Linked DNA regions of Macaca mulatta. The protein of the gene in region 2 interacts with the protein of the main gene of each other region in a biochemical or structural test. Links are inferred from orthologs where the notes say so. Each region holds a gene or a part of one and is shown on either strand. Other genes may lie near its edges. The genes, in order: VRK1 and COIL.

Evidence for each region.
Region 1: of the proteins of COIL (region 2) and VRK1, one has a biochemical effect on the other in vitro, tested with the Homo sapiens proteins (2 studies listed by BioGRID and IntAct, with this or other methods). The link is inferred for Macaca mulatta from reciprocal best matches to the Homo sapiens genes COIL and VRK1.

Annotation. Positions count from the first base shown.
Region 1 is NC_133412.1:170,104,423-170,108,806, reverse strand, and holds the start of VRK1 (serine/threonine-protein kinase VRK1), read right to left. Parts: upstream 2,902-4,384; 5' UTR 2,813-2,901; intron 2,642-2,812; exon of another isoform or gene 2,467-2,641; intron 1-2,466. UniProt on the Homo sapiens protein: Serine/threonine kinase involved in the regulation of key cellular processes including the cell cycle, nuclear condensation, transcription regulation, and DNA damage response.
Region 2 is NC_133421.1:53,038,863-53,043,222, reverse strand, and holds the start of COIL (coilin), read right to left. Parts: upstream 2,989-4,360; 5' UTR 2,981-2,988; coding exon 2,736-2,980; intron 1-2,735. UniProt on the Homo sapiens protein: Component of nuclear coiled bodies, also known as Cajal bodies or CBs, which are involved in the modification and assembly of nucleoplasmic snRNPs.

The DNA.
Region 1 (4,384 bases), on a different chromosome or scaffold from region 2:
TTAAATATCATTCAAGCACCAAAGGGAAAAAAATTCAAAGGACACAGCCCTCTGCATCTTTATAATGGCAATGAGAAATAGATTCACAGGAATTTTGATCAAAGGAGCCAAACTTATCCTACAGTAAAATTACATCTTGGTTACAACACCTACCTAAATGTTTTATTAGGGTTCTATCACCCTTTTAAATTAATCTTGCACCTTTATTAAACATTTTCTACATTTTAACATTAATAGTACAGTTTTTCAAATGTGCTCTACACATTTATTGGATTATTCTGTGCTGGATGCTAGATAAAGTTTAAAAAAAAAAAACAAAACAGACACACATTAATTTAAAACAAAGAAAACTTGCTTTGGCAAAACACTACAATAGCAAGAACAGACTTTGCACCTAGCACAATTCCTTGCAAATAGGGGGCACGTGATCTCTGGTGAATAAATGAGTCCATTTCTTCTCCGAAAAATAACCCTGGCAAGCATGTAAAATATCCTACCAGTCTGAAAAATATTCTCCAGTCCTATTCAGTTACCAATCCATTCTCAGAACCCATCAAGAGCAATTTTCATGAAAGCCTCACTCACACGCACAAAGAGGGAGCATTTAATTCCCATTAGGCTCACTGCCTGATCTATGGAGATATAAGCATTTGCACATTTGCATAAATTCAGGAGACATCCTTCATTTGATATAAGGTAAATCTTAAAGCTTCGCTTCATTTCCAAATAAGTTTTATTTTTCAAATCAAAAATATTTTTAAAGTTTTATTTTTCAAATCATAATCCTAATCATAGTACATTATATCTTATTAGGGATGCTTTTAAGAAAAAAAAATATAGCTGTCAAAATTAAAATCTTGTTTTTTCATTTCTAGACATCTGGGACATTTCACTTATATATTTATTATTATTTCACATTAGTTCTCAAAGTTAAAAAAAAAAAAAAAGCTGGCCTATTTCCTTTAAGAAATTTAATTTTAGGGTCTGTCAACATTTTGAATGCATTACTGTTATTTTTAAAATATACACTTGCATACTGGAATAAAACTTAGCATAAGCTTTCCATATAACCATTTCCTGGGCACTTACTAACTTACTATATGCCAGGCTCTATGCTTAACACATTACTCCATTATCTCATTTGTTTAACAAATATCCTCTCATAATTTTTGCAGCACTGAGCATAACAAGAAGCCATTGCACTATAAAGCTGGTATTTGTACTAGATACCAGAACTAAATTGACAGTAACGCCTAACACAAGTTTATTGTTATTAAATTCAAGTTGTGTTACTGTATTAACACAGAATCTGATCAGCAATGTTGAGATGTAGAGAATACCATCTGTGGTAGCATCAACAGAGAAAGCTATTATTAAGTGACTAAGTTATATTCCTTTCTATAGGTAACAGATGAACATAATAATATCCACCCAGAAATGTAATTCCAATCACTACATGCCATTTTGAAGAACATAAACGTAACCTACATAAAGACTATATAAAGAACCCTTGCTTCCTTCTGAAAATGCTTCAAAATTCTAGATTAAATTCTCCCCCAAAGTATCATGCTCAGCATGTCATAAAGAAAGGTGCCTTTATTGCGAACTCTTGAAAATAAATGCTGCCCTACATTTTTTTTACTCTTTTGAATTTCAGATTCAACAGATGGGCAATTCCAATTTAAAAAAAAAAAAAGAAAAGAAAAGAAAAGAAAAACACACACACAGTAATTAATGAGGTTCTTCAACAGTTCCCTAAAACATCCTCCCAATAGCAAAACTGGTGTTTCCAAGTTGTTCCAAGAAAGGGACACAGAAGAGGGAAGGCAAGAGCCTATACAAAGGAAAACAAAAATGGGTGACTTGAAAGAAAGGACATCAGAAAAATGGGTGGCCTCAACAGGAACCTGTAGTGTCTGACTCCGCTGCTGTCTGTCGAATTTAATTCAATCACCTAAGAGTTTTGAGACGAGAACCAAAATACTATTTCGGTGGCAGGAAAAACTATGCGTTGCCCTTGAAAGGAGCTGCAACAGTAAAGGATGCCACCCTGCCAGGTAGGGACAGAACAGAGGAGGAACTGTCAAACGGGATACGAAAGTCCTTTGCAAAACCCACAAGCGGCTCTAACTGCCTTGCACCAGACAGACCCTCAAGTACAAGACCACGGGGCCTCCCCGCGACGTGACAGGGAAATAACGGGCGGCCTCGCGGTCCCCAGGCCTGGCTGCTATCCTCAGGGGTCAGCCTCTCTCTTCCCTCTCAGGTTTCAAGTCAAAGGTCACATCCTCTGAGATGACCTTCCGGATCACCTAACCTAAAGAGCCTCGCGCCCATTCCTCTAGCCCGCAACTGCCTGTCCCGTTTCTAAGAAAGCATGTCCGTATCCGCAAAGCATCGCAGCTGCGTGTGTTGTTTCCCTAGTAGACAGCGAGCTCCGCGGGGCAGGGGCCCCGCCTGACAGACCCAGCTTCCCGGCGACGCCCGAGGCGGCGTTTGCGAGCTCGGCCGCGACACCACGCGCGTCCAGAACGTGGAGCTCAGATGGGGGCCGGCCTGGCCAGTCCAGGAATCCCCGGGATCGCCAGCGGGGCCTGAGCGAGACAAGCAAAGAGTGAACGCCCGCGCAGGCGGAAGCCACGCGGCGGAGCGCGGTCCCGCGGGGCAGCCAGGGCTGACGGCGCCTTCCGCACCCCGGCGGACCCACAGACCGCCCGGAAGGCCCAGTGCCGGCCCAGCCCCCGGCCGCCCTCCTCCGCGCCCCCAGCTAGGCGCGCGAGTCCTCGAGCAGTGTCGCCTGCGGCCTCCCTACCCTAAGTCGCAGAGCCGTCACCTTCCGCCCAGTACGAACTTCCCGCCGCTTTCGCCGACTCGCAACTCGGCAGCGGCGCCGGCCCCTTGGCACCCTGCAGTATGGAGCCTTCCCATTGGCTCGGAGGCGACGGGAGGGGCGGGACGAGCGGGAACGCGGCGGGGCGGGACGGAGGCTACGCTAGCCCCGCGCCTCCCCGGGAATGCCGGGAGCTGTGGTCCAGCGCTCCCAAGGCATCCTGGGAGTTGGAGTCTCTTAGCGGCAAAGGGAGATCCCCGTCCTTCTGCTCCCTAGCATTCTAGGAAATATGGTTTACAGCCCTGTTCTTAGTAGCTTGATTTATTGTGTTGGCAGAGAGTTGGATGTAAAATAAGTTTCCTGTTTCTGTTAGGATTAAATGAAATAATCTATAGACAGTACTTTAAACTTAGTTGGTGCTCAATAAATAGCAGATAGTATTAGTATTATTCTGCCCAATCATTGACATGTGTCTAAATCCTACTGTTTTTCGAAGCCTATTTCAAAGCCTATCTCAATGTCTACCTAATCCTCTGCAGTGTTTCACCTGTAATCAACGTATGCCACAGTTTGCATTGTGTTTATTATACTCAGCTAAGTCTCCATCATCCATGAGACTGAAAGCTTATTGGGCACTGGGTCACTGTTCTAGGTCAAAATCACTGAAGTCACAGGCAGAGGGAGATTAACAATGAAGCCAATGAAGCGTAAGCTTCAGGACCTCACTTGCGCAGGTCCTTCAATGAGTTTACATAGCTTTTTGCTTTTTATTTGTCAATTTTACTTTTCTTTTTTTTTTTTTCTTAAGATAGAATCTCACTTTGTCACCCAGGCTGCAGTGCTTTGGCGCAATCTCCGTTCACTGCAGCCGCGACCCCCTGGGCTCAAGCAATCCTCCCACCTCAACCCCCCAAGTAGCTGGGATTACAGGCACAGGCCACCACTCCTGGCTAATTTTTGTATTTTTTGTAGACACAGGGTTTGACCATGTTGCCCAGGCTGGTCTTGCCCTCCTGAGCTCAAGCAATCCACCCCACCTCGGCCTCCCAAAGCACTAGAGTTACAGGCATGAGCCGCCACACCCAGCTGATTTTTCTTAAAGTAGATCCTCCAAAATTACGTGAACTTCAGTCCCTACAAAACCTGAAATCACTCTGTCCATTAGACAGTTCAGTATAGTGCCTGATGTCTTACATTTTCCCCTCCAGATACCCTCATCTGCGTATGCTCCAAATACTTCTCCTGCCTGCCCTCTGCCCCGGGAGGCTGACCTCTACAAATTGCTTCACGCTCCCAGGGCTCCCTGGGCTCCCTGGGCTCCCTGGCTTTAGGGTGTGCTCAGTGGAGAACCCCACAGAAGACTGGAGGAAAAAGAAAGGTCGGTTAGAGTAGGTTAGGCCCCTGGATCCTTACTGGCAAGGTCACCTCCAGTTGGCAGGTCCCTCAGCTGAAGGTCACTGCTCCCTGGCCCTCCCTCCAGTTTGCGGTAATAGCCCTTCCTTTGTGCCTCAGGTCTGGAAGTGATAACATCACGGCTGCTGCTGACCCACAAGT
Region 2 (4,360 bases):
CAACGATCCCAAAGAATGCTTTGGCTGGTCAGATTCATCTTTTTACCAAGTCCAGCCAGCTTTTGTCTCTACAGCTGTGCTTTGATCATCCAACATTTCCCACCCATTCTTCAAGGTACTGCTCAATTCCCTGACCATTTTGTTCCATGCTGATCTCCCTTTTCTCAACCAGCTTCTGCACTTACCAGTATAACTTGGTTTAACTATTCAGTCTAATTGCCCGTATCACAGAAGGTAATATACAAAAGCATGAAACTCATTATTGGGGTCCCAGTCCAACGATATTGGGTACTTTGAGAACAGAGACTATGTTTTCTTCTGTAGCTCTGAAGAAAAGTGAATCTGTTAGGAAAAAACAATGATTGCGGGCATAAAACAACAAAAATAAAGATGAATTTTCCAGATTCATCTTTTTCTATAGTCTGCCCATTTGCCACAGAAGCCACTACAGAGGTATTTTTTTGCCACATGCAGCTGTGCATTTGAAGTATTTAGGAAGGATTTGCCTGTCATCGTGTTGTAATTATTACTTATAACAATTTTCATGGTTTTTGTCATTGTTAACTTCATTATGAAGAATGTAATGCCCAGATGATTCATTAAAGTATAATTCTAGTTAGCTAGCACAAGTTATTAACTCATTAGTCAAGGGACAGTTCAGAAAGTAATCTTAATAGGATGGGACACAATCCTTAGAATTGTAATATTTAAATAATCCTTCAATTGCAGAGAGAATAGAGACCTATTTCACAGTCGATAAAAAGGGGGGAAAAACTCTTTGAAATTCGGATTATTTCAAATTGTCATTTGAAACAGTTGAACATTATGCAATAAATCATAACATCCTGATTTGAAGATGCAGTTATTGTTCCAAATTAAATTCCTTGATGTTCTGAAGAAATCTTACAGAATCTGATATGCTTGAGGGTAAGGAATATTCAACAACAAAGGGCAGCAAGAGAAAATAGCCTGGTTCACAACTCTGGAATTAATTCACTGTAGCTGAAGCTTAAAGGGGGTGGGGGGAAGGAAGGCTGGCACAGTGGCTCACGCCTGTAATCCCAGTGCTTTGGGAGGCTGAGAAGAGAGGACAGCTGGAGCCCAAGGATTTGAGATCAGCCTGGGTAACATGGCAAAACCCTGTCTCTACAACAAATACAAAAACTAGCCAGGCGTGGTTGCCTAGCCTGAAGTCCCAACTACTTGGGAGGCTGAGGTGGGAGGATTGCCTGTGCCCAGGAGGTCGAGGCTACAGCAAGCTATGACCGCACCACTGCACTCCAGCCTGGGCATGGGAAACCCAGTCTCTTTGTTTAAAAAAGAAAAAAAAAAAAAAAAGCCTGAATAAATCGGTCCAAGACATGAATCCAAACTGGTGATACCATCATCTGACTGTGGCAACTCAACCACATTTCAGCAATTCATACTACAATTGCTCCTGGATACTCACCTCATTATCATTTTTTTAACTTCCAAAAGCACATTTAAGATTATTTTGTGGTTCCCAATTTACAGCCCAAAAGGACTCAAGACACTTATTTGAGAAAACCCCAAAATGTCTGGGTGAGACACAAAATGATACGCCACCAGAAGTCTCAGGGGACACCGGGCACAAGAGAACTAAGGCTGGACAACAGCATGTTACAAAGAAAACGCGACGATTCCCCTTTATCAGCTTGTGTCTCCTGCACCTGACCGTGAAGGCCACCAAGGGTAAGGCCGGGTCTCCCGCACATTTGCACCATGGACACGGAACAGAGTCCCACAGTGCCTAGCTAAGCGTGGATGTGCTAAATCAAGGCTGAAAGAAACCCTGGCCCTGCCCTTAGGCATCAGGGTTTTTCCAAGTTTGATTCTCCTGTCATAGAAGCATCCCGGGGAGGTTGCTGGTTACAATGCAGATTCCGGCCAGGCGCAGAGGCTCACGCCTGTTAATTCCAGCACTTTGGAAAGCCGGGAAGATCACTTAAGGTCAGGAGTTCAAGACCAGCCTGGCCAACATGGTGAACCCTGTCTCTACTAAAAATACAACAACAACAACAACAACAAAATTAGCTGGGCATGGTGGTGAACGCCTGTAATCCCAGCTACTCAGGAGGCTGAGGTGGGAGGATCAACTGAATCCGGGAGGTGGAGGTTGTAGTGAGCTGAGATCGCGCCACTGCACTTCAGCCTGGGTAACAGAACGAGACTCAGTCTCAAAAATAAAAATAATAGGGGCAGGGTGGGGTGGCTCACGCCTGTAATCCCAGCACTTTGAGAGGCCAAGGCTGGCGGATCACCTGAGGTCAAGAGCTCGAGACCACCTAGACCACTGTGGTAAAACTCCATCTCTACTAAAAATACAAAAATTAGCTGGGTGTGGTGGCGGACGCCTGTTGTCCCAGCCACTCGGGAGGCTGAGGCAGGAAAACTGCTCGAACCCGGGAGGCGGCGGTTGCAGTAAACCGAGATCACGCCACTGTACTCCAGCCTGGGCGACAAAGCAGGACTCTGTCTCAAATGAATAAATAAATAATAAAATGTGATTCCTGAGCCCCAAAGTTGACTACACCAATCAGTATCTCCCGGGTTAGCGAACGTGCATTTTTACAGCCCCACCCCCTCTAACCCTCGTCCCCTTCCCCATTCCCCATGCCCTCCACAACCAGGTCTAGCGGCCTCAAGCCCGGGCGTGCGCAGGCGCGTCCCCCTCCCACCGCCCACCCGGCCGTCCCGCTCCCTGCGCCGCGCACCTGAGGCAGTCGTTGTCTCTCACCAGGCGCGCGCTCTCGGCGGGGGGCAGGAGCCCCCCCTCCAGGTAGAGGCCTAGGAGGGCCCCAGAACTGAAGCCGAAGCGCTGGCGGATGAGACTAATGAGATCTGTGACGACTCGGCATCTGTTCAAGTCGACCAGAAGCCAGAAGGCCGTACAGTGCGGGGTAGCTGGAGGCGGGTAATCAAATTGAAGCCGTAGCCTAACCGTCTCGGAAGCTGCCATCTTGCTCGGTGCTCAACGGAAGCCGAGAGATACCACGGGGCTACCGAGAGGCGTGCTCGGGCGGCCCGCCCCCCGGAGCCTTTGGCGTGTGCCACCTAGTGGTGGAACCTGACTACTACAGGCTGCGTCTAGGCGCGCACTCGGAGCGTGGTTGATTTTTTTCATTCAAGTTTGTTCACGGCAGGGCTGAGAAAGGGAATAAGTGAAATGCCTTTATTACATTTCTACTGGGCGCTATGTAGGGTCTCCTAATTAAGGCAAGTCTCTGGATAAATAACATTTCTCCTCAGCAGTGGTCTAAGATATTTGCTCATCGACATAAAAGATTTTTATAAAACAATCGTAACAACACATTTCACTGACAAAATTTTTCATCATGAGTTGAAAAAGATGTAAGTCCTAGTGTGTTCTCAATGTTGAAATTTTGAAATAAAACTGGTAATCATTCTTCCAAATGTATCCAGTGGAATATAAATACCTTAGCCTTTTAATACCCACAACCAAAGAAAAATGTCCTTGCATTTCTCACCAGATAAGTAAATCAGAATTTACATTATTTCTTATATTTTTTGAACTAGAATTTACATTTCTCCACATAATATATATTAACTCTTTAATTTTCATGACAAAAGTTAGGAATTATGAACTATTATCCTCATTTAGAGGATTTAAAAAAAACAAGGTTCAGAGAGTTTAAGAAGTAACTAGAGGCCAGGAGCAGTGGCTGACGACTGTAATCCCAGCACTCTGAGAGGCCAAGGTGGGCGGATCTCTTGAGACCAGGAGTTTGAAACCACCCTGGCCAAAATGGTGAAACCCCAACTCTACTGAAAATAAAAAATTAGCGGGGTTTGGTGGCATGTGCCTATAATTCCAGGTACTTGGGAGACTGAGGCAGTAGAATCGCTTGAACCCAAGAGGTGGAGGTTGCAGTGAGTCAAGATCGTGCCACTGCACTCCAGCCTGGGCAACAAAGCAAGATTCTGTCTTAAAAAAAAAAATGTAACTTCCCCAAGTTCACTAGACTAGTTAAGTTGTAGATATCAGGGAGTCAGTAGATGAAACAAAATTTCTTAATGGAAAGTAGGGTTTTTTGGATTTTTTTTTTTAGAGTCTCACTCTGTCACCCAGGCTGGAGTGCAGTGGTGCAATCTCTGCCTCCCAGGTTCAAGTGACTCCCCACCTCAGCCTCCCTAGTAACTGGAGCCACAGGCGTCAGCCACCGTGCTCAGTTACTTTTTGTAATTTTTGTAGAGATGGGGTTTTTCCATGGTGGCCAGGCTGGTCTTGAATTCCTGAATTCAAGCAATCTGCCTGCCTTGGCCTCCCAAAGTGGTGGGGTTACAGGCGTGAGCCACCACCTCTGACCAAAAGCAAGTT